Linked DNA regions of Drosophila melanogaster. The gene in region 2 interacts genetically with the main gene of each other region. Each region holds a gene or a part of one and is shown on either strand. Other genes may lie near its edges.

Region 1 (10,582 bases), on a different chromosome or scaffold from region 2:
CAAAAAACCAAAATAATCAAAGAGAAGCGAAAGGCAGCAAGAGGAAGAATACGAGAAACCAGCAGCCAGCCAGCAGGAAAACACAAAAGTCCAAAAAAATAAACTACTCATTTGGCTGCATTGGCGAATTAAAAAGAAAAGATACAAAGTGGCATATAGGAAGACGGCGAGTGTGTGTGTTAAGTGTGTGAAAGCAGCGTGATCTCTGGAATTAGCTTGAAAAACCATCTTCTTTTTTTCACTCCTAATATTCGGTTAAGTTTTTTTTTTTTTAATTGTGCAAAAGCGCGTGTTAGCCATGGCGTATACTTGATGTGGCCGCAACCAGCAACGATTGCGTATACGCCTAGTGCGCCTCTCTGTGTCTCGTGCCTGTTCTTTGTGTGTGTGTGTGTTTGCGAGTGTGTGCTTGTGTGCGTCACACACAACGTGTTACGCAGAGTAACCCCCCGAACCGCCGCTCGTACCCATCGCCTTTGCCGTTGAAAACTTTTGGTTTGTTGTTTAGAGTAAAGTGCCCGGAAAAGTAGGCAACGAAAATGGTTACAACAAATTGCAGGGCACACACGCACACACAGACAGGGCCAACCAACTCGCACACACACATTGATTTGGGATAGAAGAAGCAGAAGCAGCTAAAGTCGACTATGTGTGTGCCGCGGACTTTCGATTTTTCGTGACTCGGTCGGTTTTCTTGTATATGTTCTCGAGTGTCCTTTGTTGTTGCTCCTTTGCTTGTTGTTGCTGTTGGCGATGTCGCCCCCTTTACTGTCCCCCCCCACTCCCCGCTACCACGGTTTGAACTCCACTCCGTGTGGATTTCGCCTGCTGTTTAGGTTATGTGTATCTGGCATGTCCTTTTTGCCTGCCTTTTCCTTTTTGGAGCGCGCATATGCGCTAGCACGAAACGAAACGAAACTCAACACAACACAACACAATTCAACTTAACTCGCCCCGAAAATCAACAGAGAGAGAGGATTCGGTGGGGGGGGGAGGCGTTATCGGTGTATGTGTGTGTATGTGTGTGTGAGAGTGTGGGGCAACTCAGTCAGTCAGTCAGTCAGTCAGTTGGGCGCCTTGCTAACTGGGTAGAGCCAAAGGATCCCCTCTTGCTTTTGCTTTTGCTTTGCCTCTGCTTTTGCTTTTCCCTTGCTTTTGCTGTGCTTTTTTGTTCGATTCGATTCGAGTCGCGCGTGTGCCATATCGCGTTTCGTTTTCGTGCTGTGCGCAAAAAGAGCCGAGCTCCAAAAGACTTGGGGTCTGAGGATTGGGGATTGGGTACTGGGTACTGGGGACTGGGTTTTTGGGTACTGCTTACCGGGTTCCGAAGAACTCAGGACGAGGCCACGAGGAGCCCTCCGAAGAGAGCAGGATATGCAAGAGAGCGCAGAAAGCGACGATGTGAGCGAGATTGGCGTAAAAGGGACAAGGGTGTCTCAAATTGCCTTGGCTTAGCTCACAAAAAATTGAACCAAAAAAAAAAAAAAATGCGAACAAAAATACGAAATTGTGCAACGCTATTGAAGTTTGAAGTTGATTTCTAATGAAAAATATAGCCATTCCATACGTGTACATGCATTAAAACAAGCTGTATGCAGGACATGGCGGTTAATTGCCAGAAAAGCGAATAATTGGAATTGTTCATATTTGATTCAACAACAGACATTTATAACAGTTATTGTCACGAAAGCGCTTTCATGATTGTGGAAATCGTGTAGTCGAATTCAAAGCTTATTACTGACAATTGCGTTCAGAGAATATTTCAGTGCCGTGCAAATCCCTAAAGAATTGAGGTTAGATAGCAGATAATAATGGTTTAATTTGCATATTAAGCAATTTTAAGCCAGATTATGTTAGTAACATCATTTATTTTACTTGCTTTCTTAGATCAAGCAACTTAGGTACTGTCAAAATTGTTTAAACATTTATGGGTGCCACATTACAACGAAGGATTCATTTTTTATGTGCCTCTTGCCGAGAACTTGCAAGGACCTCGTCGAAACCGAAAGGACACGCAATTGTGGCCCAGAATCGAAAGCGAAAACTTTCCCTTCCTTGGCCAAAATCTATAAACTTTCGTTTATAAAACGCACTAGCTGTCATTCGTGTGCGATTGTGTGGCTTTCGTGTGGCTATTTGGCTATTTGTGTTGCTTTCGCGACTTCTGGTCGCTATAGAAAACCAAAAAGCTGAAAATATAGTGAAATGGCATGGGGAACACCCGTTAAAGAAAGTACCGATGTGTTAAGACCAGTCCAAATGGGTGTTACAATAACTTTGCGGCTCGTCCAATGCCCAGCGGGTTAGGCCGGTGCCATTCGGCCAACAGCCTGCCACCAGCCTTCCATCGTGCTCACCAGCTTGTCCCGGGGCGAAGGCTCCGCAGGACCCCCATACCATTGCATCCCATGGAGAGGGACGGAAGCCCAGCCGGAGCACCACCAGTCACCAAATGGCAGTCGCAGTTCAATCTGCCCCTGGGTTGTGCGTGTTCAATTGGCTTCCAGCCCCATTGTTGTTCTTTGCTCGCCCTTTGCCTGTTGTTGGCTTTTGGTGTAAAAAATTTACATAACCCAAATTGATGCATAAATAAATTATTAAATACGTGACGTGCAAATGGTCAAAAGACCAAGCTAGCAGCCATCGAGCAGCAAACGCAAGTCGAATAGCATGTGTGCAAGGCTCTGGCCTTTGGCTTCCATTGTGCGAATCCCAAGGGCTTGCAATCAGGACGCAATCCAATAAGGAGATTGTGCTCTCGGTAATATTGCCATCCATATGCGACCTGCGACAAATGTCTTATGTTACGCGAAGATCCTCACTGCGAATTCAATTAGGAGCAAGGCCAAGGTTCATGATCCAAACGAATTCCAAATCATTGGCTCCCATTATGGATGAAACTGTGATAAATAAACATTAGTCCCAAAGAGAAATTGGCAATTTAAAGGTTTCTAAGTACGCTATTGAGTACAACTATTGAGTGCCAGGAAATGATAAGTCCAAACTTATAGTATTACACACTTAAGAATGAAGTCAATTAGGTTAAATTTATAGCAAGCTTAAACGCTTCGAAAACAGTTTCCTGATTTAAAAGCATTATTACTCAAACTCCCACAAAAGCTGCGCGCTTTGGTGACCCCAATCCAGTTAAGACACACACACACACACACACAGTTAAACTCCATTGTTTTCAATTTGTTTATACATATGTATGTACTTGTCCATTTGTAAGGACATTAGGAACGCAGTTCCTTAATGTGTGCAAATGGGTGGGCTGACTGGTGACTTGGTGACTTGGTGACCCCGCCACCGCTGGGTTAGATAAAGTTCGGATAGGATCGATTGGTCGGTGTCCAAGATGGGGGGCCCCGAAAAGCGGGTCAGCATGATTTGCGATTATAGCTGATGCTCCATATTCTCGGGCCACATTAGTTATGAACGCAGTCGGACTTGACTTGACCAGTCCAACTGGTGCCAAACGCCCAAAAATAATGACCCACTGTTGCAATTTTCGGGCAGAGCAGAGCCGTGGAATATCAGCTTGATGACCTAAAAATAGAACAAGTGACCAAAGACAAATAAAAAAATGAGAGTCGGCGATGGCGAATAGTATGTGGCAAATGGCGGAGAATAGCGAAGGGCGAAAGGATAAGCAGCGAAAAACAGGGTGGCAAAGTAGCACAACAAAACCTGTGTTGACAACGACTTGGGTGGTTATATATGGCAAATGCTTTAGGGCGAAAAGGACTTCTCACACACACACAAACACACACACGCGCGAACTGCTTCTGCTCCTTTTCGCGGCAAATTCGGATAAAAGGAAGTCACGGCGAAACGGCGGACAACTGCCTGGTTCGCCCGAAAACGGAGTTACCCAGAGAGGAGGAACTTTTTCAGTGCTCAGTGCTCGACTTTTTTCCGCATCCTTGTGTCCTTTTTCAATACTGCTCTGCGTTTCACGTGCGCGCGAAAATTGCATAAACACAAACAAGCCGCGACTCGCTGCCTCGACATTTTTTTTTACAGTGCATCCAATCCAGTGAGACATTATCCTGCCAATTGAGTGCTCATTTTACGTTTTTTTTTTCGTGTGTCTAAGTGAAAGCCATCAAGTGTGTGAATACAATTTACAAGCCCATTTTAAATATCTATTGAAGAAATATAACAAGTTTAGTAGAAGGAATCAAATAAACTAACGACATAATTCACATAATTGGCACAAGGACAGCAGAAAATCTAACATATAAAAAGAAATAAATATTAAAAAAAATAATTTCAAGCCATTCAAACAATACTAGGGGGTGCTTTTAGTGGGCCATACAAATTATTCGAAATTTTTTCTTCCGATAATATTTTTTTCAATTTTTTTTACATTTCTGTCACCTTTTGTGAATGAGTTTTCCCATCAAATTTTCCAATTTAAGCTGGGTTTCAACAACTTGTTCGCTTTTCCGCAGGCGACGCTGACGAAATTGAAACTAAAACCGAAATAAAATCTGCAAATAATAATAATAATACTATTAGTCATAATACGGAAAACCAATTATAATCATAGCAACAGTTGAGAAACCAAGCCGAGGCAAACTCATTTAAATATCCCAGCCAGGTAGCCAGATACTAGTAGAAATAATACAACAAATAATATTAACATTAACTATAAATAATAAATTGAAACAGCTCTGGGAACAAAACGCAACGTTTGATGAAAATTTCTGGCAACACGTCTTGGTTGTTGTTAAGCACGCAAAAAAATTAAATAAAAAAACCAATTCAAATACCCAATGATAATGCAGATTTAACAAACAAAACCAAAACAAATAAAAGCAAACAAAAATACAAATATAAAAAAAAAACCAAACAAAAAAACCAAAAAACAAAACAAACAACAAATTCATCTTCTACTTGTTCTACCGCTTCAACTTTATTCGTCTTCGTCTCCGTAATATATATATATATATAAAATATACATATATATATATTTATATATATATATATCTATGTATATGTATGCATATGTGTGTGAGTGCGTCGCGTGTGTGTTGGTGCCTGTAAATGTGTGAGCCACAACAACAACAACTACAACAACAGCAGCAGCAGCCAGAGCCACAACCACAACAACAACAACAGTAGTTAACAGCAGCAACAATTCTTAGCAGCAGCAGCAACAACAACAATACAAGCAAGCACGCTCACAACAAAAGCAGCAACAGCAACAACAACCACAATAGCAACTACAGCAACAACAACATCAGCGGATAGAGCGAGCAGCCAGGCACAACATCGATAGACATCGATTAACGGTAGGTAATCGAAGGCAATCGAAAAAATCCATTTAATATGTATTTTATTATCACATTCATTGCACTTTTAATTATGCTAATGATATTTAACCCTAAACAGAGGAAAAAAAATCGTGAAATTTTTTATTTGTTGAGTTTCAACTATTTCCGATACCTTGAATGATTTATTCTTAAGACTAAACGATCTTTCGAGTCTAAAAGAACCACTTTTATGATGAATTCTTACAATTAACACATAGTGGAAATGTATTGAAAATAATTATGTTATCTATGTTAGAGCAAACAGGCTAACAATGTGTTATATTAGAAATTCTCAGCTCTTACTTAACTTACTTCTCAGCTCAAAACAAAGTCATTAATTTACTTTTCATTTTGGTCAAAGAGAACTACATTTTACTGGGTCAATGGTTCAACTTTCATTGAAAGTTTTTAAGAAACCCACATTTGGTATTCCCATCGATTGCAATTTTAATATAGAATACCAAAAAGGGCAATTTACGCTGCACGTCAAATGAGAATTTAGAAAGCAATTGTGTCTTTCGTATGTATTTCAATATTTGAATAGCTAGAAAAGTGTGAACGGAGCAGTGGGCGACTTGATGAACTTGGCTCGATTATGTCATGCCTCCTTGGTGAAAATCCCAGTTAACCAGGCCCGACCTCAAGACCATATCAATGGGGTATCTGCGCCCCTTTTTGTCCCGCCCACTGGCACGCCCCTTTGCTTTTGGGCTACAACCTTTTGCTGGCTTTTGGAGGGCAAACTTTCAGCTGCCACAAAAAAAAAAAAAGAACAGAGCAGAGCAGAGCAGAAAAAAATGAATGATGAAGGTTGAGGGGGGGGGGTGTTTCTAACGGAATTCCTTTGCTCACGCACACATTGAAAGGAGGTTCGTTAAGAGAGAAGGGAACCCAAAAATGTATTGTTGTAGTCCGTGTTTGTTGGCGGCATCACACAGAGAAGTGAGAGCGCAAGAGAGAGGGCACTGGCTCTCTCGGCGCAGGCAGGAGGAGAGTGAGAGTCCTCGCTCTCTCGCCAGCCCATTGCGCTCTCCCATGCAAAATTCATTGACTAACAACATGCTAACTTCGTTCAGTTTTTTGCTGTTTCTGTTTGTTTTTTTTTTTAGTTTTTTAGTCCTTTCCTTGCCATCGAATTTTGTTCAACAATTAATAGGGTAGCAGATATTCTGTGTTATATTGCCAAATCGATACCTTGGGTTGGCTAAGGAAAACGTTTTGCGTTTCGCTCATGTGTTTGTCATGTGTCATTTGCATATTGACACAAATTCCGGCTCGGGTTGTTTTTTATTTCAATTCTTGTTTGCGGTTTTTCGCATGACTCATCGACCCAGCGAATGGCCAAAAATTAATTCGGCAAACAGAATTTTGCGAGTGTCATGAATGGAAACAGACACACATAAATATATGCTCATATTGGCACATCCACTGCCACTCTGTGTGTGTGTGAGAACGCTACCCTATGCTTCATGCCTCCGTGTGTGTGTGAGTGTGGCGAAATATCGAACTGACCTACTTTTATGCTCGATACACACACACACACACACACGCACACACACTGGCGCGCTCACACATACACACACGCAGCCAGATTGGCAAATGGAAAAAGAGTGCTTTGACCTTAGCGGAGGCTGCTTATGTAAGCCCAATATCCGAAGACCGCAGGAACATCCGTAACCGAATCTAGATTCAATTCTCACATTTTCTGTAGTAGCGGTAGAAGGTAGTGTTAGACCGTTTCAAATAAATGAAGTGCTTATAATATTATCTACATTTTAAAAATCATAATCGTATTACCTATTACTAAGCTATCTATGTAAGTCAAATCCAAAATTTATACAAACAAGCAAGCGGCGTCAATAAAGTCATACGCATTAAGGCTCAGTTCAGTCAAGTCAACCACTTTTCACAAAAAATCGTTAAAAATCGTTAATTTCTTCGAACGTCGCTATATTAAAAAAACGCAAGGCTCAATTCAGTCAATCCTTATCTATTCCAACTCTGAGTAAGCGAGCAAGCGAAAAGTGTGTGAAAATGGCTTGGAAAATGCTCTTCGCCATTTTGTTGCTGCTGAGTGCGGCCAAAACCGGCTATTTGGCCCCGGAGTCGGAAAACTCTGTGGAGGATGTGCAGATAGAGCCCGGCGCCATCTATGGCGATGAGAAGTTTGCCTACAAGAGTCCGGTGATCGATGCCGAAAAGTTTTACTTTGCGGATCACTTCGACGACGTGGAGGCATCCCGAAAGAGATGGGTACTGTCGCAGGCCAAGAAGAACGACATCGCCGATGAGATAGCCAAATACGATGGCATCTGGAACTGGGAGTCTCCGCAACGCATCTTTTGGGCAAACGATCTGGGTCTGGTGCTCAAGTCGAAGGCCAAGCATGCGGCCATAGCCGCCCCCTTTCGCCAGCCGTTCGATTTCAAGTCGAACAAGCCGCTGGTGGTGCAGTACGAGCTTACGTTGCAGGAGGGTCAGGACTGTGGCGGCTCGTATCTGAAGCTTTTGTCCGCCGGAAAAGGCACGGAGCAACTAAATCGCTTCAATGACAAGACACCCTATACCATCATGTTTGGTCCGGACAAGTGCGGCAACAATTTGAAAATGCACTTTATATTCCGGCACGTCAATCCATTAAATGGCAACATCACCGAAAAGCACTGCAAAAAGCCAAATGCCCGTTTGGGAGTGCCATTCACGGACAAGCTACCCCATCTCTACCAGCTGGTGGTCCGTCCCGATAACAGCTTTGAGATTCGCTTAGACCACAAGATCATCAAAGAGGGTTCCCTGCTGACCGACTTTGTGCCACCAGTCAACCCACCGGCGGAGATAGATGACCCCAATGACCACAAGCCAGAATCGTGGGATGAGCGGAAGAAGATCCCAGACCCCAATGCCCACAAGCCCGAGGATTGGGACGAGGATGCTCCACCACATCTGCCCGATACCGATGCCGTCATGCCAAATGGCTGGCTAGAGGATGAGCCCGACATGATTTTCGATCCAACTGCCATCGAACCCGAAGATTGGAATTCCGAAATCGATGGCGAGTGGGAGGCTCCTCTGGTGGAGAACCCAGTGTGCAAGAAGGCCCCCGGCTGTGGCAAGTGGAAGGCTCCGCTCATCCCCAATCCCAACTACAAGGGCAAGTGGAGTGCACCAATGATCGAGAACCCCAACAACCAGGGCAAGTGGGCTCCCAGGAAGATAGCCAATCCAGACTTCTTTGAGGATCTGAAGCCCTTCCAAATGACGCCAATCAACGCTGTGGGTCTGGAGCTGTGGTCCATGTCCAGCGATATTCTCTTCGATAACCTGATCATCACGGACGATGTGGAGTTGGCCCGTGACTTTGCTGCCAACAGCTTCGACATCAAGCGTCTCTACATCGATCGTGAATCATTCGGGAATAAGGTAGTCGAGCTAGCTAGGGCCAATCGAGCGATCTGGGGCATTGTCATAGTGGCCATTGCGGTGCCGGTTGCCATTACCATCTTCTGTAAATTTGGTTTAGGCCCGAGTAGGGTTGCGGCTGCCAAAAAAGCTGCTGCTGCCGCGGCCAAGAAGACCGACGATCCTCAGCCCGATGATGACCTGGGGGCCGAGGAGGAGGAAAAGTTGGAGAAGGGGAAGAAGGAGGAGGAAAAGAAGGAGGAGGAGGAGGAGGAGGAGAAGGAGGAGAATAAGGAGGAAAAGAAGGAGGAGGAGAAGGATGACGAGAAGGAGATGAAGGATTGCGAGGAGGAGGAGGATGACGAGGAGAAGGATGACGAGGAGAAGACCGACGAAAGGGCCGCTGGTGATACCAACAAGGAAAGCACACCGCTGTCCGCTAGTCCCAAGAAGAACCAAAAGTCTTATTTAGATAATAACGAAGATGAGGAAGACACATTAAAGAACAAGGAACCTACCCCAAAAAAAAGGAAGCGTAAAGCACTCAAGGAGTAAGCGGGCATCCGTAGTCACTGCAACTCTAAATAAGAAACTAAATCGAATTCCAAGATCCAACTGTTGCAGAGCACCAACAACCAAATGATCAAGCAAACGTAGATTTTAAACATGTTCTAATTTCGCCAAAAGAGCCGACATCTCGATCAAACTACACACACACACACACTATCCCACAAACACACAGACACTATTTCACAAACACACACACACACTCTCCCACACACACACACTCTCCCACACACACACACACACTCTCCCACACATACACACACACACATACACATAACACATCCAAATCCAAATAAAATCGGATTAAAAAAAAAGAATTGGGTGTGAAAGGGAAAATTGTTTGAAGACGGAAAAACAAGCAAATTTCCGCGATCTTTTCGCTGGTGGTAGCATACTTTTCTGGGCTGCTGCTGAGAATCCTTGGCAGCAACTCAAGAAATCGCAGGGATTCCGACTGCAAGAAGCAGTCGCAGTACACTGGAAAACGTGGTTCTGGCGATCCAATGATGTTACTTTACTTTACTTAACACGTGAGCATAGGGTAACGTGCGATATGCCCCAAGGATCAGTATTCGGGCAACTGCTGTGGAACGCCATGTACGATGGTGTGCTGAGGTGGCCACTGCCAGAAAGAACCAAGGTGATTGGTTTCGCGGGCGTTATTGCCTTCGCTGAGTGCCTTGGTAATGCATCTAATTGCACCATATACTTACTTATATTATCAAACATAAAATTTATACGAACAAGTAAGGGTCATAAGTAAATTCATAAGCATGAATTGAGCCTTTAAGTTAATCTTTATTTTTCCCAACTCCCCGTTTAAAAATCGTACGTATTTTAAATTCTTCGTACGTCGCTGTATCCAAAAGAACGCAAGTATGTGTGTGCGTGCTGGCATTTATTGATTGGCCATTGTTTTTGTTTGTTGCATTTTACTTTTTTGATTGCATTTCATTTGACGCGAATCGCCGCCTGCGGTAATCCAATTAGTCAGCTGTTGAGGTTTCGACATCGACTCTCTACCGCGGGATCAATGCACTAGCTTTAAGTCTCCTCATTTACTCCATACCATAACTAACTTTAATAGAGCAACACTAACTAATGCCTGACGTTTTTCCCATTTCATTTACTTGCAGCATCGTGCTAAGCGGCGGGCGCTAATCGAACATGGCGCCTCGGATATAGTTGTAGCTTTAATGTAGCAGGCGACATCCATGTGCCTCATGTAAGTAAGACCACATAGAATATAGTTGTAAGTGGGAGGAATAAGGCCTACTATGTGTAGGGAAAGAGTA
Region 2 (11,126 bases):
GCGTTGCCGGGCATCGTGGGCAGGTCCATTGGACTGCCCGACATTCATTCCGGCTACGGATTTGCCATCGGGAACATGGCTGCTTTCGACATGAACGATCCGCTGTCCGTTGTAAGTCCCGGCGGCGTGGGTTTCGACATCAACTGTGGCGTGCGTCTGCTGCGCACGAATCTGTACGAGAAGGATGTGCAGCCGGTGAAGGAGCAACTGGCGCAGTCCCTGTTCGATCACATACCCGTGGGTGTGGGCTCCAAGGGCATCATACCCATGAATGCCCGCGATCTGGAGGAGGCCCTCGAAATGGGCATGGACTGGTCGCTGCGCGAGGGATACGTGTGGGCGGAGGACAAGGAGCATTGCGAGGAGTACGGCCGCATGCTGAACGCCGATCCCGCCAAGGTGAGCATGCGGGCCAAGAAGCGAGGGCTGCCCCAGCTGGGCACTCTGGGTGCGGGCAATCACTACGCCGAGATCCAGGTGGTGGACGAAATCTACGACAAGTGGAGCGCCTCCAAGATGGGCATCGAGGAGAAGGGCCAGGTGGTGGTGATGATTCACTCGGGCAGTCGTGGCTTCGGCCACCAGGTCGCTACCGACGCCCTGGTCCAGATGGAGAAGGCCATGAAGCGGGACAAGATCGAGACCAATGACCGGCAGCTGGCCTGCGCCAGGATCAATTCGGTGGAGGGACAGGACTACTTGAAGGCCATGGCGGCGGCTGCGAACTTTGCCTGGGTGAATCGCAGCTCCATGACATTCCTCACCCGTCAAGCGTTTGCCAAGATGTTTAACACCACACCCGATGATCTCGACATGCACGTTATCTATGACGTTTCGCACAATATTGCCAAGGTGGAGAACCACATGGTGGACGGCAAGGAGCGGAAGCTGTTGGTTCACCGGAAGGGCTCCACGCGCGCCTTCCCGCCACACCATCCCCTGATCCCAGTGGACTATCAGCTTACCGGGCAGCCAGTCCTCGTCGGTGGAACCATGGGCACTTGCAGTTACGTGCTAACTGGAACGGAGCAGGGCATGCAGGAGACGTTCGGTAGCACTTGCCACGGAGCGGTGAGTAACCAAATCCCGTTTCTTCCTGTTCGCCAGACTAAAACCTCCTTGAATCTTTAGGGTCGTGCACTATCTCGAGCCAAATCCCGGCGCAATCTGGACTACAAGGATGTGCTGGACAAGCTGGACCAGTTGGGCATCGCCATACGCGTGGCCTCGCCCAAACTGGTCATGGAGGAGGCACCCGAATCTTACAAGGACGTGACCGATGTGGTCGACACCTGTCACGCAGCTGGCATCAGCAAAAAGTGCATCAAGATGCGCCCAATTGCAGTTATCAAGGGCTAAGTCTAATTTATTATTGTGATTAAGTCAATAAACATTTGGTCCGATGGCTGTCAATTTAGTTAATAACGAATTAAAATTTTTATAGAATTTGTTAAGAGGTTTTCGTTTTTTTATTCAAAGTTAACAGTTATGTAGTTAAGCTGTTAAGTGAGCTGTGGTCACCCCACACTGGCGCTCTGTTAACGGCGAGCTTAGCATTATGTTAGGCCAAAGGCCCGGTCTGTTAGTTGTCAGCTGACTGCCAATCCAATTGGACCTGCTGCACGGCGCGAATTTTGATTGAGCTGCCCATTTCGATTTATTTAAACGAAAAAAAACGAATTATATTCGTTGTTAACAACACGCCGTGTGCAATTCTGTATGTGCGCCTGCTAATCGCTCGGGAATCGTGAGTGCAATTAAGCCGAAAACTCACTGCAGCCGGCAGTCAACCAAGCTGCGCAGTAGGAAAAGGCCAAAGAAATCTAGCCACTGCTGTTGCCGCCGGACTTAACTGCAAGAACAAACAAACGCAGGCACTATGACGAACATGCGGCCGCCGCAGAAGTCCAAGCTGCTGAAGGTCGTCATACTGGGCGACGGAGGCGTTGGCAAGTCCGCCCTGCTCACCCGATTCGTCGCCAATCGCTACGAGGAGAACAACTTCCACACCATCGGCGTGGAGTTCATGAACAAGGACATAGTCGTCGACGGGGAGCGCTACACTCTGCAGGTGAAGACTACGACTATGACTATTATGCAATCCAACTACTGACTAGGAGTAATAGTAATACCGATATTGCGGCAAGGCCGTAGAACTTTTGCAATTCTTATGGTGAATGCAACAGTTGGCCAAGCGTATTTCCTTCAAGTGTATTTCACTTAAACACTAACCCCCTCCCCCCCCCCCCAAACGGATCTATCCCACCGTCGCATGGTTGTGCCCGATCCACCGGCATTTTGTTGATGCAAACACTTAGAAACTACACAACGATTAAGCCTTGTTTTCCATTCCCTTACATTCGCGGCACAGTGGAACTTTAGTAAGTTAAACAGGGTAAAAACAGAAGTGCTAACAAATTAAACCATTTAAACAAGGAAACATTGACTATACATTCCTTGAACCATTTGAAACACTCGTATACCAGAGAAAAGTATTATCTTACTGACACGTTTTTGAGTCTTGCATTTGAAATTAAGAAAAAAATATGTGCAATCAATTAATTACGTAGTTTTTTCCACTGTAGCTGTACCTACATTATGGGGGTATCTGTTCCATCTGCCCCATCCCCACTCACACACACACATATATGAACATTAGATTTCTACTCAATTAGCGTTGAGAACGGAATGGCATTGCAGAAACAAAAAACTGAAATAATAACAATAATGACAGTTTCGCCATTCGGCAAACAAGTGAGAGACTTTGTTTCATCCGCCGACGCGGTTTCCCCCGCTCCATCTCATCCGCATCGCAGTTGTTTTCCATTTTCCATTCGGACTGTTGTCTTCAAAAGTATCGAACTAAATGATTTTCACAGTTCGCCAAGCTCGGAAAACTCATGAATATGCAGCGCGTCTCAGTGAGTAAGCAAAATGCAGCCAAGGTGTCGCAAATCGGAATAATAATTCTAATTGGACCAGCAGATACATTATAAAGTAGGAAGTAGCGAATGTGGACTGATTGATATACATATGACTAATCCGACGGGAATCTCGCATAGTTTGCTGGTTCACAGTTCGCTGGGCACAGGAAGAACTTGGCCAAAAGCGGATTTCCCAGTGCTGCAAAAAATCGTGGAATCACTGGGGTGTTTTTTGCACTACCTATATACATATGTACATATGTATGGAGTCACTTAGTTACCATGGGCAGTACTCACACCCTAAAAGGGTTATTCCACCCATGTGTTTGGAGGCCAAAGGTGTTTATATTAGATAAAGAAGTTTAAAGTATCCATTGTTAGAGCTAAAAGTATAACCTCATGTTCGAAAGTATAAAATAAATAAAAGTATAAAATAAATATTTAAAGTATGTATGCTACTCGAAAATTCAGATTCAACGAACTATTTCCTGAGCTAATTGCTTATCACCACCTCGTTATCAGTTCAAAACTAAATATTTAATTAACACACAAGAAATGACAGTAAATGTGTTGATATAAGTGAGTCAGTCAGGCATGCAAACACTCCATAGGTTTTCAAACGGCGAAAGTGTTTGTTTCTCAGTGAGTTTGCTTCTAATCGAATGCAAATTTCAATTGAGCGCCATTTGAATCGCCAATTCAATCAAACTTAATTGATGCATTGCCTTAATTGGAATTTCCCCAAACTAGATATGGGACACCGCTGGCCAGGAGCGATTCCGGGCTCTACGCACCCCGTTCTACAGAGGATCGGACATCTGTCTGCTCTGCTACGCACTCGACGACCGGGACAGCTTGAAGGGATTGGGTGTGTGGCGCAATGAGTTCCTCAACTACGCAGATGTGGACCAGGACAAGTTTCCATTCATCGTGGTGGGAAATAAGGTGAGCCATGCTTGCAGAACGTTCATCTTGAGTTTAAAAGGTTAATTGCTTCCAATTGTAGAACGACATTCCGGCGCAGAAGCGACAGGTGAGCTCCGACGCAGTGCAGCAGTGGTGCGCGGAGCAGAAGGTGGCCTGCCACATCGAGACGTCATCGAAGGCGGCCACCAATGTGACGGATGCGTTCGTCCTTGGCCTTCGCCAGTGGCGGCACATGGAGTGCGTGGCCGAGGCGGAACTGCGCCAGCACGGCGACACCATTGACCTCACCCGCCCCATTCGCCTGGTGCAGCGGCGCATCTGTTGCACAGGCGGAGGAGGCGGTGGCGGCGGCGTAGGGCAGGACGCGGATGGCGATGATGCCGCCATGCACAGTCCGGGCAAGAAAGTGTTCGGCCAGAAGCGCAACGCCAGCAAGGCGCCAGCCACCAATTATCGGCTATGAGCAGACAGACAGGAGCTGTCAGGAAACTTACGCTTAATTTAACCACTCACCCCGCCGGGTTGACCTTCAGATTCAATGCATTCCAGTCCGCGGAGGGGCAGGAGCTTCAGACCGAAAGGCAACCCATCCACCCAATGTTGATGGCTGTAGAGAGTGGATTGCCTCGTTGTGGTTGATATTCTAAGGGAACTATGCTTCACAGCGAGCTAACTATGAGCTAGCTTCTATGTCAAGAATAGGATCTCCATTTTTACTTGCTATGCTTTAATATTATCTTACTAAGTTATTATTTTGTTATGTTACCGTATCGAATATATGCGGTATGAAATACTCTTATAACAATCGTATATAAGCTTTACCATAACCAAGTGTCTTGCTTGAGGAAAGCAAGCTTTAGGTGTCTAATGTACTACGCATAAGGCAATCAGAATGTAATCACTACATTTTTTCCTTATATATTGCATAATTTCGGAGTGCCTTAAGTGTGTTTATCTGATGTGAAAGCTGGGAACAAACGAATAAATATGAATACCGCACGTGTTTGTTTACAAAGTATGTTTATATTTTAACAATTGGTTTAATGTACAATAGTAAAATGATATAAATACGCTTACCCCGGATTAAAATAATATGCATGTAGGTATAACACTTCTTCTGGCTGCGATCGACACTCCGATCCTGGTTAAGACTAAGGCAAACTCTAGGCGCTACTCACTAACAGGACAAGCGTATGGTAGATCGAGTGCTTAACTATAACGCTCCACGTGGGCTTAATGTGAAGACGTGTGGAAACGAGTGGAGTTGATTATCACGAGCAGCACCAGGCCGGTGGCCACAGATCACTTCTTCTTGTAGCCGTACGAGTTGATGGTGTCGAACTCGGTGTCGCACTTGAGCAGCAGCTGGTACCACTGGTCGCTGTCGATGCGGCTGGCCTCCCGGAATCCTCCGTAGGCGGCTGGCAGGCACTTGGGCGACATGTATTTGTGCAGGGACTCGCGATCGGTGCCATGGAAGATGATCCTGCTGCGCAGCTTCTCCTTGAGGAAGGGCTTGAACAGGGCAAAGACCACCTGGAAAATCTTCGGCTGGTTCACGATGTGAATGGCCTTGATCCGGAGCGGCACCGAGTCCTGAAGCCAGTCCACAATGCGCTTGGCGAACGGAGGCGTAAACTGCCACGTTTGCTGGAGACTGAGGCCATCCATGTCGAAGATCACAACGGCTCCGCAGATCTGTGTTTCTGGCTCCAGCATGGCCGCCTCCAGGAAGAGCACAGCTCCCTTGAACACCTCATCGAGGGTGACCTGCTTGTGCTTCCAGCGCTCTGTAATCGGGGATTACGAAAGATTAATACAGGATCTGCTCAATGCTTGGAGCAACTATGAAACTTCAAATGATAGGAAAACCTGCATCTTAACTAAAATAAACTTTACTCTGAAGATCGAGATCTTTGCACTCAAAAGCTAATATATTGAAGTATCCTTCTTTCAGTGTACTTACTGCCCAGTTCGAGGACCAAAATGCGACGACCCAGTTGATCTCGGTTGGGGAAGACGGTAAGGATGTTGTGCTTGAAGATGTTGGCCTCGTTCGATGGCTTCAGGTCGGTGTACACATCCGCGTGCTTCACCTTGAAGGCGTAGTACCGCTTAATCTGTTCCATATTCAGAATATATACAATTAGTAACACAGCTGGAAACTGGGTTGCCACACTAGACTCACCAGATCACGGGCACTTTCCGGGTAATACTTGCAGGGCCGCAGGTATCTGATCAGCCACTCCTCGTTTCCCTTGGGGTACAGCAAGTCCGTCTCCGCTGGAAGCATATCGCAAATATTAATCGACCTCACCTTCAATAGTCTTAATTCTAAAAAGTCACTAAACCACTGGCATTAAGTTTATCCAGCAATTAAAAGGCAATCGTAATTTGTAACAATAGTTACGAATCTTATGCAACGAAATCCTCTCGAGGGCGCGCTGCTTTTAGCCCCAACTTGTTATTAGTGACACGAAGTCGCCAACTAATGATATAGAACTATTCGTTCGAACTTGGTGTACAAATGGATTTTCAATTCCCAACAATCGGGTAAATTATTAGATGCAGGCTAAGTACGAAGTTTATGGCTTAAGTTTTATTAACTCAAGTTTTTATCAGCTTTTGGAGATCCCTCGGATATAAATTATGAAAATAGCTTAGCAAAATGCATATTGTATGATCTCAGTTCAGATATATGTATATACTTTAAACAGATGTAATGCAGTTTCAATGACTTTCATCATGTGAGTTTTAACTCATGTAGTTAATGTATAATTATATTGATTCAAAGTAAAACTCCATTTCTGATCACGACTCACCTTCTAGAAGACGGGCCAGCTCCTTGGAGGCCTCCTTCTGGCGCTCGGGTGTTTCGCGCAGCTCCTTGATGGCCACCTCCTTGCCCTGGGCAGTCGGCTCGCCCAACTCGAACTGGAGCGTGTAGTCGCCCACCTGGAGCGTGGGCAGTTGGTCGATGTCCGACAGCATGGTGGGTACTCCTGGAAGGGAAGCAGTTGGGGTTCGGTTAGCGACAGCTTCTGTACTTTGAGCTGGGGCTGCGGGTTTCACACTGAGAGCACTGGGAACTTTGGCCAACTAAATAACTTGAGCTAACTGACATCGATTGCCAATTAGTTGTCATACTTCACAATTACTACTTACTCATTTTGCAATTGTTGCTGCTCTGGCTGAACTGAAATTATTCTGCGATTATATTAAGCTATGTGCTTTTTCTAAGCGGTTCGCCGCTGTATATTTTCAGTTTGCCAAATGTAAAATTGTGCCCTCTATTTATAAGAAGAAAAAAGCGTAGAGATTTCAATTTATTAGCGAGACACAAGTGACTCGGAACCGGCTCAACTGCATCGAGTTTCTAGACTTTCCCGCCAGTCAATGCGATGATCGTCTAAACATATCCATATATGTATTCATTTATTTATTAATCACCTGGCCGACCTTCACCTTGACATTCGCAAATTGCTTAAAACGGAAGAAGAGGCCAGAGATTCGCGAAGATAATGCAATTCTTCAGAGATCAGAAAATAACGTTAGGAGCCTTGAACTAAATTCTGGAGACACTTGACGCGTTCTACTTGAGCGTAATTTCCAGTTAGGCAGGTTTCGAATTGCGAGATGAGGAGCCAGGGTCTGTGAGCTTATATAGTGGGGCAGTTGGATATCAGAAATTAGCACACTAGATTTCCCATCAAATCGGAAATTAGCGCTGAAGATTTCCCATCAAATCGAAAATTAGCGTTAGTGCTGGCTCGAAACAAAAGACTAGGAGATTAGCATCCGAAGCGCTGACATTGAAAATTGCTACCAATTTCGGCTAGATGGGCCAGGTGATTTGCTTAGGGTATCGTCTGTTTTTGCATTCATGAATGATACACAAGAGTCTACTGAATCGCTGATGTTGTGTCTGGGAAAATACGAGATCTTAAATAGTACACACGGATCACAACACAACACAAGACAACACAACACGACCGAAACTAGTTTGGCCCAAACTTAAAGGCTATAATGGTATAATGGCTAACAGTATTCCGCAAAGACGGCCCAAAAAACCAGCTGCGAGTGACGCGTGCAACGGAGCTGAAAGCCCAGATGAAACTGTTGCGGCCAAAAGCGCGAGTCGAGATTTTATGCCAGGCCAAGAATTAAAACTGGAATTGTGAGCGGAGCGGCATGAGAGTGGGTGTCGCCGATCGAGACGCCAGTGCTGCCAAGTGGGTTTGTTTCCCGACAGTAACTACTTCTGCTATAAGGGGGTCTTTTAACTATAGTTGTTTAATGCTTTAATGCACCAAAATGAAGTAGTTTCAACATAATAAGCTTCTACTGAAACATATATTTTCTTGCTTGCTTGCACTAGTGATGGGGAATAACTATATAATGCTATTATATGAAACAAGTTGTGCACCCATTAAGTGATCATCACCAGCTGAATCTGAACTTGAGCATGACATTCACGTGCCTCGCAAGAGCGTGGAGTTGCTAGATGGAGAGACACATGGAGTTTGCCCAGGGAGAGCGAGCAAGCTTTACTGGGTCTGGGGTGCATCGTCATTGGGAAATGATGCCACCGCCACCTCAAGCCGGTTTCAGTTTCGCTTTCAACTTGGACTTGCCTAATTTATTCGGGTTTTCTTCGGGTAATCGCCCACAGTACTATTGGGCTCTTGAAAATCCCTTGGCATAGGCATTTCCCATCGCGACCCTGAAGCCCCGTGCCCGTGCATAGCCATCCGGTTTCAATGCTGCCCAGCTACACGCCAATTAGTGCTTACACCTGTTCGGCGTACCTACACCTGGGGTCACCCCACTAGCAATTTGTTGGAGACCACAAACATTGGACACTTGAAAGCATCTTCAACTATTTATAGATCATAGTTATAGATCATAAGATCGCATCTAATGACACCGCATCACCATGTCATATCATATGTCCCTATTTTCTCAGCCCCATGTGTTAAGCCAGGCATATTTGGTATAATTAACACGTCCCAAAGCCGAGCACCCTCTGCGTTGTGGACAGCAAATGGTTCCCGCCCGGTTTTGGACAAATCGGTTCAATCGCACGATCGCACGTGCGAAGACTTCGGCCATTCATGGATACGGATTTACGTTGCGATGATACTCTCGATTTCATTACGGCCAGTTTCGGTCATTTGGTCAATTTTTATTGGCCATCTCGAAGCGGATGCTGACGAAAACTGGGTGGTACAAAGCTGCGAGTATATGGAAAAAACTTGAAGCGAGTAATATGAGTAATTCTGGGGTTACGACCCATTGCAATGTCAACCTTCGCCCTTCGGTTTTTTCTTTGCAAAAAGCGTGTTAAAAACCCTGCATGAGAAACCTGCTTTTGAAGAACGTGACAATGGCGGTTCAAAAGCAAAAGTGCTTTGACCTTACTCAAGAGATGGAAAAAGTACAAGTCGGTAGATATTACTGACATCGAACAAATGGATTGTTACATGAATACTCGCTTGATGTCCAAACAATTTAGATGGCATATCAAAAGGCATTGCAAAAAGTGTTGTTTTTTTTAAATTATTTATATTTTGAATACCTTTTAAATACTCTTTCTCGAACTAATCGTGACTTTCAATTACCAGCACAACTGTATATAAGTTTTTAACAAACTGGTGTATAGTTTTTCGAGCAACTGTAGCCACGCGCCTTATATAAATACATACGTACGTATATAGAAAATAATTCTATTTGAGGGAGATAATTCTAAGAAAATGCATATAGTACTTGCAATAAATATACGATAAAAAATGGGGTTCGGCAGATTTCGCTATTGCTCACCAAGTGGGAATTCAGAGGGCAGGCACCTCATCGCAGATGCAGTGGTCAGCATGGTCATGGCGATGCAGATCGAATGAATACACACACAAGTTACTTTACAACTAACTAAACCGGTATGCACATGCAAATGCTAGCGTATGTAAATAAATTAATATTTCTTTATTCAGGCTGATCGAGTCGGGAGCATCGGCGGTGGCTAAATGGGTCAATGTCGTCGGCGAGTTACTGAACTTTGTCTGAAATTCTCGAGCGACGAGTGCGAAAGGGGGGAATGCATGCAACAGTAATGAGCAAAAGGCAATGCAAAAAACACGGACAGACAGTGATGCCTCGTAAATAAGGGCTGAGCGTAGCTACATAGTGATAGTGATGGTGATCTGGCTAAGATATTTTTATGGTCCCTAGCGCTACACACTCAGAAATGCACTCTTAAAAAGAAAAGCACTCTATATGTATATATATATACAAATGTATATATGAGATCCAATTACTCACCTTGTTTGAATTGAAAATCGGCTAATCCACAAATAGTTGGCTGGTACAGTGGAAATCCTTCGGAACTCCCGTTCGACTCCGATATATGTACCTAGTGAGCTTGGGTCGCGTTTGAAGACTGAAAATACAAAGCTGCTTGTCAAATCGTTTTATAGCCGCCCCTTTTATGCACTGCGTGCATTGCACATATGTATTGTACGACAAAGTTATAGTTATCAAGATATATACATAGGTCGGTCGGAATAGTCGGGCACTCGTAAGGCCAGCGCGACTTAATAGGTCATTATAAGCGACCGATTCGAGTTAAGAGCTCTAAAGATCACGTCGCGAATCGCCGCATGGGATCTTCTTTTTTTTTTTTGGCTTGTTTTGCATAAGTTCACCTGAAAATGGTTCACTGAGCTCAGCATTAATTTTATGTTATTTCCATTGTTTTTAGTACGTTAAAGTGCCAAGACAAGTGCGGTATTTCTCACGGTGCAGCGCACTCAATCGATTTTCCACAGCAATTAACATTATTAAATATAATGTTGCAGAAGGTACACTGAAAGTAAGTGAGTACTACAAAATTCAAGAACTTTCTTCACTTTGTGTGCACTTTTAGAAATGTTCTTGACTTAAAACAATATAGTTATTATTATTATTATTGAAAAAATCCGTACTTTCTATCAGGAAATCCACTTTGCTATATTTTGTAACTATATACACTTTGTAACTTGTACTGTTTAGCACTTTCGAGAAATTCTCATCTGCCACTTGCGAAAAGTCCACTTCCTATATTTGTTCTAGAATGTAAACGAAGGAATATTTTCATTTCTCGTCGCAAAATACGAAATTTTTAAGTTAGCTATATAGCATCGGGGCACTTTCGCAATCGCGGCACAGCTTTATATATGTATATATATTTATATTAAGTGCGTGTTCTGAGCGTTTCGCACAGTGTATCGTGGTTAATCTTCT
Region 3 (9,873 bases), on a different chromosome or scaffold from region 2:
TGTTGTTTTCAAAGTTTTCCATTTAAATCAGCACGCCAATCTCTCTGCGAATAAATAAGAAGGTGGCGCCGGGTTACTTGAAAGAAAACATATGGCGATATATGTACCGATAATTGTTTTGGTGTCGAATTACGGAAATTACTAAAAATCAACCGCCCACCCGTTGATAAGAAGGCGACCCCTTCCCTTGGCTTTGCCCTCGAGATGATCAGAGATCTGGATAACATCCATTGATGCACTGTAAAACTGAGTTGGTTCTAACCGCCCTTTACCACATGGGATAAAATAGAAAAGCAGCCTCTAAAATCGTCGGTTCTTGTTAATTAAAACAAAAACGCTGACTTTTATTTAGTATGAATCACACAGTCATAAGTTGTTGGCTGGGGGTGGGAGGGGTCAACTTGAAAACAAAAACAAGAATTCAGGGTCAGCCAAGGCGACCTATGAATGCCCTTACGTGTTTTTTTTTGCAATTTTAGGCAGTTGAATGACTGAAGTAAGCAGGATTTATAACGAATTCGATATGGCCGTTGAAAGAAAAGTTTCCATAATGAAAATCTAAGCCATTAAGGCATATTTCAGAGCCAAATGTTCAAATTCCGTGACCGAACGGGTGGAGTTGATACCGCGGAAAGGGTATAAAAAAGTTACGCGGCACCGATGTCTCATCTCTAAGTCGCGATGCCACAAAAATGGAAATTGCAGACAGTCAGAAAAGTCTTGAAAAGCACACGGATTGGCAAGTTTTCATCGAAGTTTCACTTGCATTGTGGCGCAGCTCGTTTGTTTTTGTTTTTTGCTTCCATTTTGGCCAGCCCTCGCCTTTATAGCGATTTTTTTTTGGGTGTGAGCTGCGCAGTTTACGCTGCTCCTTACTTGATTCTCTGCACCGGCACCTTCAGTTGGCCTCTGTCGGCCATTCCGCGGTATTGTTATTTTTCAAACGCACCGTGCAATCGGCTCAAATTTGTGTTCGATTAAGGAATATTAAATTGTTTTTATTTGTATTGTTGAGATCGTGCTGTTAAGCGTCTGTTAACGAACACAGGGTGACTCCTGTTGAACACAGGGCGTTCTAGGCTGGCGCTGGTTAATATCGATAGTGTTTCATTCGATTGTTATATCGATATAGGTTACAGTTGGCATCAGTATTTATAAAATATACACAAATACACGGTGCTAATAAATTCTTGTTCGTAAACAGTCATAACAGGAAATTGCATGTTAAAAAAAAAATAAATAAAAATAATTAACAGTTCCTAAGAATCAAATTCTTTTAGATAAAATCATAGCATACAAAATAAAATTCAACAAAAAGTAACAGTCGATAGTGATTCACTGCTTAACTGATTTAAATAATATCGATATTACTGTTGTTGAGTTGACAAGCAGTGCAAAGTAACAGAAACGATGACCACCTTATCGCGTTTTGGTATTTATATATGTATGCTATCAGAAATGAGATATTTCAGCATCAGTTGGGATTTCAAATATTTCACTTGGGAACAAATTTTTAGATGTGTATGAATAAAAATAATAAATGCGTCTTCCAAATACTTGTTCGGCCTTGTTAAATTAATTTTAATTTATAAATTTAAGCCAATGGACATAAAAATCAATGATTTTGGGTAGATTATGATTTAGTTATTAAGCTGGCTTTAATCTTTGGAGAAAAGTACGAAGCCCCCTGCGTGCGACACTGATTAACAGCATTCACTTGCGATATTTCGGTCACACAGAGCGCTTAACAGCATATCGTGCCAAAATGAGGAGATATATTCTAAAACAGTAAGAGGTTACACTGTTTGTTGACAAAAAGGTAAACAAAGTGAAAATTTCGCAAAATGTGCAAAATAATTAAGTAAGGGTCAGTAAAAGGTGCTACTGGTTAATCGGACCATAACAACTACCCATTTAACACATACCATGCATGACTTGGATATCTCGTGAAGTACACAAACCAAAACAATGAGCGACTCCGACGAAGGTGAGATAACACAACTTTTAGTGAAATTATGCACAATATGCTAGTTTTGCGCAAATTTAGTCAGAGTGCAAATGAGCATTATACGCTTGACTATGCAAATTACCTAAGTGGTGCAATTAAAACTTCAACCAGTTGTTATTGGTTTTTCAACAACACCAGCAAGGGCACAGGGTGACATTGGTGCAATGGAAGTGGGCGCGCAAAAACTTTTTTCAAACAGCCACCCCCCACAGAAGCAACTGGTGCAACCACTGGACCATCCGACACCCACGAAGAGACAAATCAAAACAAATGCCACGCACTCACCCAATGCCACATTCTTGAACAAGTGCAACAGTTGCCGCGCTTCTTGGGCTCCGACTTGCGCAGTGCGACATAAAACGGCCTGGATCAATGACCACAAAAACGTGGCCATCGATTTTCCGCAGTTCAGTTTTTGCTAGCGGCGCGTTCGGTCATCATACCGATGCCAATTAATTTTTGGGGCTTATTCGCACCGATTTGGGTTACATAATGTCATGGAAATTCAGCATGGAACATCCCAAAACTGGAACTGAAACAGCTCTGGAAGCCTGTGACTACTTCGTGGATGAGGTCATTGAGGCATCCTCAATACGGGGTGGGAATTGGTTTATTCCAAAGGTGCTGTGTATTAGTTAACCAAGCAAAACTTATCTTTCACAGATGCCCGCGAGGAAGTGCGTCAGATCAAGCACGGGGAGCTGCGAACGGCAGTGATCTCTGGCGATGAGCGGACTGTGCGGGTGCTGCTGGCAGCTCTTGGAACTGAGCGTCAGATTATAGTCAATATGGCTCCTTCAGGAGCAAACACCCTTCTATTCCTGTGAGAAAAAGTCTTTTAGAATTAGTCCATTTTGAGCCAAACTAATATCGGTCTCGTTTTAGAGCCTGCCAGTCTGGTTACGAGAGCATTACACAGCGATTGCTGGATGCTGGAGCGGATGGTCGCTCCCATGCCGTGACCAAGTACTCACCCTTGTACGCCGCCGTCCATAGCGGTCACTTGGGCATTGCCCGACTGATGCTAGACCATTTTCCAGAACTGATCCAGCAGCCGACTGTAGAGCGCTGGCTGCCGCTGCACGCCGCCTGCATCAATGGACACATCAAGCTGCTGGAACTCCTTATCAGCTACAGTTATCCCGACTACCTCTACCAGACATATCGCGACGAGGAGGGCCAGTGGGAATGGCGGCTCCCCTTCGACGCTAACGCTCATGATGTGACGGGTCAGACGAGTCTGTATATTGCCAGCATCCTAGGAAACAAGCAGCTGGTTGGTGTGCTTCTAAAGTGGCAGCTCCATTGCCGGCGTACGTTGGGCGATTCCGCCAGCTCGGTGAGCACTCCTATTACGCCCACCAGGAAACGTATTTCATTTGGCATTCAGGCTATCATGTCCAAACTGCACATATCTGGAGAGTCAGAAGGACCCGACGACCTAGCTTCACAAGAGTCAACCGAGTGCCAACGGTGTCCCATTAACGTGAATCTGCTATGTGGAGCGGCGAGAGAAACAGCTCTGCTTGCGGCCGTTCGAGGCGGCCACCTAGACGTGGTGCAGTCTCTGCTACAGCACGGCGCAAATCCGAATATTGTAGCCAAGCCAGTTGAGGATCACAACGACCCGAAATGTTGCGAGGAAATATATGGGCTCAGTAATGTCCCCATTGCAGAGGCCTGCAAGCAAAGGTCGCTGGCTATGTTGGATCTCTTGCTTAAGCATGGAGCCCGCGACGATAATGGCACGGCCATTGGAATGGCTATTACATGCGGCGACGAGGCCATCCTGAGTCGTCTTTTGGCCCGACGAGTCCATCCGGACTCAGACTACAAGATCAACAAGAAGGGTCTTCCCACACCAGTGGAGGTGAACGTGTTTTTGCCGTCCACCAGCAACATATCTTACAGTGCTATGTTCCCCAACAATCCAACCATTATTGACTGGCACAGCATGGGCTCCAGTGTCCAGTTGTCTGTTGTAAGGGTTCCCTGGATGGTCAGCGGTGTGTTGCTGCTGAATCCTAAGCTACAGTCGCATCCGCGACTTAATGAGGTTGCTCTGACAGCTATCACGCGAATAGATTTCTCGCACAACGTTCTCACGTCAATTCCACAGGAGCTTTTCCATTTGGTTAGCCTAAGGTTAGTAAAGACAAAGTAATAAGTTTTTCAAGAATTATATTAGTCCTTCATTTAAGGTATTTAAATGTGGCGCAAAACAAGATAACCGATCTACCTGCACCAATAGGCCAGACATATGGGTGTCCGGTACTGGATGAACTCTTTCTACAAGACAACCAGTTAACTACGCTGCCAGCCGCCATCTTTCACCTGCCCGCCCTATCTATATTGGATGTTTCAAATAACAAACTGCAACAGCTTCCCTTCGACCTGTGGCGTGCACCCAAGTTGCGCGAACTTAATGTGGCCTTCAACCTATTGCGGGATCTTCCTGTGCCGCCAATGCAAACTAGCAGTTCGCTGCTGAGCCTAGACAAATTGAATCTGCAATCTTTTGAGGAGCCGCCATCAAACAAACCGCGAAATGTGACTCAGCAACGTCTCACCCATCGCAATCTATGGTCGGCTACTTTGGACATAACCGATAATGACATGAAGTGGCAGCATGAACAAGATTTAGGCGATGGAAAGACAGCTGGTGTGGGCTCCTCCCAGCTAAGTAGCTTAAATATAGCAAATAACCTCTTCACCAGTATCCCCGCTGCTTTGCCCTGTCTGGCTGTAAACCTAACACGGCTGAATATGTCATACAACAGTCTGCGTTCTATGGGACATGTAACCAGTTACCCGGCAACACTTAAGCAGTTGGATCTAAGTCACAACGAGATATCCTGCTGGCCAAGTTTACCGCGAATTACTGAATCGGATCCGCATCTACTGTGCTACAGTTGTGTCCAGCTACCAGAGGGTCGAGATGACGACTACAAGACGGCCTCCTCAAAGGGCAGTAGCTCGTCTGCCACATCGTTTCGCGCTTCGGTGTTAAAAAGTGTTTGTCGGCACAGGCGTCATCTGCGCCTGGAGGCTCTACGCACATTGATCTTGGCTGACAATCTGCTTACGCGCATCCAACTATCAACTGATGACGCCACAACCCTTTTCAATGAAAGTGAGGACGCCGATTGGAGTGTGGTAGGCGTGAACCGGTCTAAGGTGATATTTCCCAACCTGTCTATGCTGGATATGACCAACAATTGCCTGAAGGAGATTCCCGCCTCGTTGCACGAACTGAGCAGTCTGTCAGTGCTGAATATTAGTGGCAACGTCAACATCACGGAACTGCCGCCGCACTTGGGACTGCTGTCGAGACTTTGGAATCTTAATACGCGCGGTTGCCTACTGCAGGAGCCACTGCGCTCTATGATCGAGAGCAAGAAGCACAAGACGATGGACATTGTTGGATATCTTAAATCTATTTACGAAGATGCTCAGCCCTACGCACGGATGAAACTGATGGTGGTTGGTGTGGCTGGAATTGGCAAGAGCACTCTGCTGGACTTACTGCGCCAGGGGGCGGGCTCAGGGTCCAGCTCCAGCTCTCATCGATCGCGCGCCAGCGAAAATCATTGGGCCAAGCGAATGGGACACGCACGCAGCACATCTCGATCTCATCGCCATTCGTCGGCTTCTAGCGCAAACATTTCTACAGTAGGAGTGGACATTGGAACATGGATATGTGAGAAACGAAAGCGAGCACCCGGCTCCCACGGCCCAGTGGTGTTTCGTACTTGGGATTTTGGTGGTCAGAAGGAGTACTACGCCACACATCAGTACTTTTTGTCCAAACGGAGTCTGTATTTGGTGCTCTGGCGCATTAGCGACGGTCACAAGGGTCTGGCGGAGTTGCTGCAGTGGCTTGGCAACATTCAAGCGAGGGCTCCCAACTCCCCCGTAATCATTGTGGGCACACACTTTGATGCCGTTGGTGAATCCATCTCGCCCCAAAAGGCAGAGCAACTGCAGCAATTGATTCGGGAGAAGTTTATCGCCATTCCCGATGCGGAAAAAATTGGGCTGCCACGGGTGATTGATTCCATCGAAATAAGTTGCCGGTAAGTTTTTGAATTATTAATATGACTTCAAAGTCTAAAAAATACCGCTTTGAACTTTAGGACCCTACACAATATCCACTTATTGGCCAACATTATTTACGACACCGCCATGCAACTGCGATCCCCTGGTTCCAAGGAGCCCATGCTACTGCAAAAGATCCCCGCCAGCTACATTGCCTTGGAGGATATTGTGAATGTGATTGCATGCAATCTGCGCGCTGCTGGGCGAGATCCCGTCCTGGATGGTGAACAATATAAGCGCTTGGTCACCGAACAGATGAGATTGCACAACTACAAGAGCTTCCGGGATGCCGCTGAGCTGCAGCAGGCCACTACATGGTGCCACGAAAATGGAGTTTTATTGCACTATGATGATGCTACGCTAAGGGACTACTACTTTCTCGATCCACAGTGGCTTTGCGACATGCTGGCCCATGTGGTCACCGTGCGGGAGATCAACCCCTTTGCTCCTACGGGCGTGATGAAGCTGGATGATCTCCAGATGTTGTTCCGAAGTGTGCAGGTTCAAGGAAATGGAAACAGAAGGTATTTAAATGAGTGTGCATAACTATGTGGTAAAGTATTTTTGTATTAATTAAAATTTCTTTCTTTAAGCTACATTGTCAGTCTACTTAACAAGTTTGAGGTTGCTTTAACGTGGGATTCGAGAACTCTACTCATACCCTCCTTACTGCCTTCGCAGGAGGCAGCTACACCCAATTCAGGAAGCACGGTTAAGCTATCGCAACGATCTCGCGGCCGTAGTTTGGGTTGCTCTGTATCGCAAGAAGTAAATCTAAATAATTTGATATACGAACAGAGGTCAGCTCCTTCTTCATCATCTTCCTCTGCATCGGTTAGCCAAGGCTTGCGGCGCATCCTATTGATGACTTATTTCCCGTCCGGGTTTTGGTCAAGATTAATCACCCGGATTTTAGCTGATGAACAAATAATCGAAGCAATTCGTGGCGTTTATATGGCTTCACAAGATGTAAGTGGAACATCTTTTACGAAGCCTAAGTTCTAGGTACAATCTTTATTTTCTAGTACGCGGACTTTGATCTACGCACATCGTTGGAGCAGGACACCCAATGGAATCTTTGGCAGACAGGCTTAGCACTGTACTATGGACCTATCTTAATATTCAAGATCTGGGAAGTACCCTTTCAGAAGACAGAGCGAACGCAACCTTTCCGCACTGATGGCAACCGATTTAAGCTGAAACAAGATGGTATCTGGAGCGATGTAAATCTCAGCTCCTCTAGCATTTTGGAAGTTTACTTTCCACTCTATGAAGTGAACATATCGCAAGAAGTGGATGACAATGAACGTCAATTGCTGGCCGAGATTCGTCCGCACATGTCTCAGGTGGCCAAGCTTTTGGCCCTAACAGTGGATCATATTGACTTGCTTTTGGAGGATTGGTATCCTTCATTGGGAACGCGGTTTGTGCACACTTCCGAGGGTCGATTCCTAATCACTCGATTGGTGTTGTGTCCGCGATGTCTTTGGAAGTTGCAGCTGCAGCAGAACAACGAACCGTCTGATCGGGAAGTGCCTCCAGTGGGTTGCAATCGACCAAGTCGAAGTAGTAGGCGTGGAGCGGGAGCATACTTTCTCCACGGTGTAGGTGATCCCGGAGAGGATGGTGCTTTAAACGTGTTCTCGGCCTATTTAAACGCCACAGCAAGGAGAGAACGCCGATCGGAGGATTCTTTGGGTGCTGGATCCGACGCGGACTCGGGCGTGGGTCCCGACTCAGCCGGTTCTTCGCGCAACACTTCAGTTGATGGTCATCCCGGATATCACTTGCCTGATAACTCAAATGTGTGTTATGCTTGGATGATTGAGGAGTGCATTTTGTCCGTTTATAATCAAAGCAAGATTAGTTGCCCTGTTCATCTTGAACAGTCTATGGCTCAGCTTGCGCCAGACGTAATCTTTGCCGATATTCCTGATAAGCACACTATTCCAAGCGAGTGCATCATCAAGGGATCGTTGCTTGGTCGAGGTGCTTTTGGGTTCGTTTTTAAAGCAAATTGCAAGGTAAGGGGCGCCAGATCCTTTAAGCCGGTGGCAATGAAAATGCTTCAGCCAGTGCCTCCCGGAGCTCGTGCAAAAGAGGTGAGTACTATAAATTAACAAATGTACTGAAATGAATAGTAATTTGTTCTTTAATCATTCTATTTTAGAGCGCTTTGATGGCTTTCAAGGTAGCTGTAGGCAAATGGGACCGGGATCCACTGCAGCACTCTTGCAAGGCCTACTGCACTGCGCGTCAGGAATTGGCAGTACTTCTAACTCTCAAGCATCCAAACATTGTACCCTTGGTCGGGATCTGCATTAAACCATTAGCTCTGGTTCTGGAACTAGCTCCTCTAGGCGGTTTGGACGCTTTGCTCCGGCATTACCGACGCAGCGGAGCCCACATGGGACCGCATACTTTCCAGACCCTTGTCCTGCAGGCGGCTCGAGCAATCGAGTATTTGCATCGCAGAAGAATCATCTACCGCGATCTAAAGTCTGAAAATGTCTTGGTTTGGGAGCTTCCACAACCACACACGGAAGACAGTCCCCGCAACCTTGTGCACATAAAGATTGCCGACTACGGAATTAGCCGGCAAACTGCTCCAAGTGGAGCTAAAGGATTTGGTGGCACCGAGGGTTTTATGGCTCCGGAGATCATACGCTACAATGGTGAGGAGGAATATACTGAAAAGGTATGTTTATTTATTTACTTCTCATAAATCATATGGCTTATCGATTCTTCTTGTCAGGTGGACTGCTTCTCATTTGGAATGTTCATATATGAGAATATCAGTTTACGACAACCTTTCGAAGGCCACGAGTCTATTAAAGAGTGCATCTTGGAGGGTAGTCGCCCGGCTTTGACTCAAAGGGAAACCCAGTTTCCCACCTGCTGTTTGGATCTTATGGTCTTGTGTTGGCACGAACAGCCTCGTCGCAGACCGACGGCAAGTCAGATTGTTTCCATACTAAGTGCACCGGAGTGCATCCACCTCCTGGATGTCGTTGCCATGCCGCATAGCGAGAAGATTGTCTGTGGGGTTTTTCAGTCGCTTGTTGGTATGGGCGATGATGAACGATGTGGTCTTGAACTGTGGCTACCCTCCTTCGGCTCTCGCATTGACATTCTAGACTGCTCACCCTCGGGCAGCCTACTGCAGTGCAACAGCATCAGTTGTTCTCCGCAGCCACAGGTTGCTCCGCCCAAGACACCCGAAAACGGTGCAAATTCACGTGCCCGCTCTGCCCAACGTTTGCCCAAGATGAACATGTTGTGCTGCTGCCTGGTGGGTGAAGCCATCTGGATGGGCGACGTTTCCGGCAATCTGCACGCCTATAGCACATCCACCTATGCCCACCTGTTTTCCTACATGCTCGATCCCAACATTAAGTCAGCTGTGATCAGTCTAGTCTACATGGAGAAAATAGCTCGCGTGGCTGTCGGAACGCATAACGGTCGGGTGTTCCTTGTTGACGCCACGCAGATGCCCAGCAATTGCGCATTTGCCGAGGGCTCTTTTGTGCTTACAGAGATCTGTTCTGGTTTTGTGTTGCACGCCGCTTGTTCCGTTGTTGTGGATGGGTAAGCTGACAAATCTATAACCAAATATTTACTTAAATCTATATTGTGCTTTGTGTAGAATCTATGAATTGTGGTGCGGCGAAATTGCAGGAAAGATAAATGTTTTTCCGTTGAACGAGAATGGAGTTTCCGGACATCAGGCTTTATGCCACAGCGAGGAACCCAATCTCATCGAGGAC

Evidence for each region.
Region 1: of Rab9 (region 2) and para, changing one suppresses a phenotype caused by changing the other (phenotypic suppression), as found in Drosophila melanogaster (one study listed by BioGRID).
Region 3: of Rab9 (region 2) and Lrrk, changing one suppresses a phenotype caused by changing the other (phenotypic suppression), as found in Drosophila melanogaster (one study listed by BioGRID).

Annotation. Positions count from the first base shown.
Region 1 is NC_004354.4:16,521,995-16,532,576, reverse strand, and holds the start of para (paralytic), read left to right. Parts: upstream 1-5,162; 5' UTR 5,163-5,300; intron 5,301-7,161; exon of another isoform or gene 7,162-7,355; coding exon of another isoform or gene 7,356-9,275; exon of another isoform or gene 9,276-9,610; intron 9,611-10,423; 5' UTR 10,424-10,512; intron 10,513-10,582. Other genes in the region: Cnx14D (calnexin 14D), read left to right, coding at 7,356-9,275. UniProt on the Drosophila melanogaster protein: Mediates the voltage-dependent sodium ion permeability of excitable membranes.
Region 2 is NT_033779.5:19,430,993-19,442,118, forward strand, and holds Rab9 (Rab9), read left to right. Parts: upstream 1-1,581; 5' UTR 1,582-1,879; coding exon 1,880-2,071; intron 2,072-3,674; coding exon 3,675-3,869; intron 3,870-3,930; coding exon 3,931-4,314; 3' UTR 4,315-4,849; downstream 4,850-11,126. Other genes in the region: RtcB RNA ligase, read left to right, coding at 1-1,071, 1,132-1,359; CG10237 (uncharacterized protein), read right to left, coding at 5,154-5,641, 5,818-5,971, 6,040-6,134, 6,674-6,853, 9,672-9,729.
Region 3 is NT_033777.3:20,633,670-20,643,542, forward strand, and holds the start of Lrrk (Leucine-rich repeat kinase), read left to right. Parts: upstream 1-1,810; 5' UTR 1,811-1,968; coding exon 1,969-1,987; intron 1,988-2,146; coding exon 2,147-2,419; intron 2,420-2,429; exon of another isoform or gene 2,430-2,518; coding exon of another isoform or gene 2,519-2,606; intron 2,607-2,671; coding exon 2,672-2,831; intron 2,832-2,893; coding exon 2,894-4,153; intron 4,154-4,209; coding exon 4,210-6,084; intron 6,085-6,144; coding exon 6,145-6,630; intron 6,631-6,699; coding exon 6,700-7,075; intron 7,076-7,131; coding exon 7,132-8,208; intron 8,209-8,276; coding exon 8,277-8,804; intron 8,805-8,861; coding exon 8,862-9,694; intron 9,695-9,752; coding exon 9,753-9,873.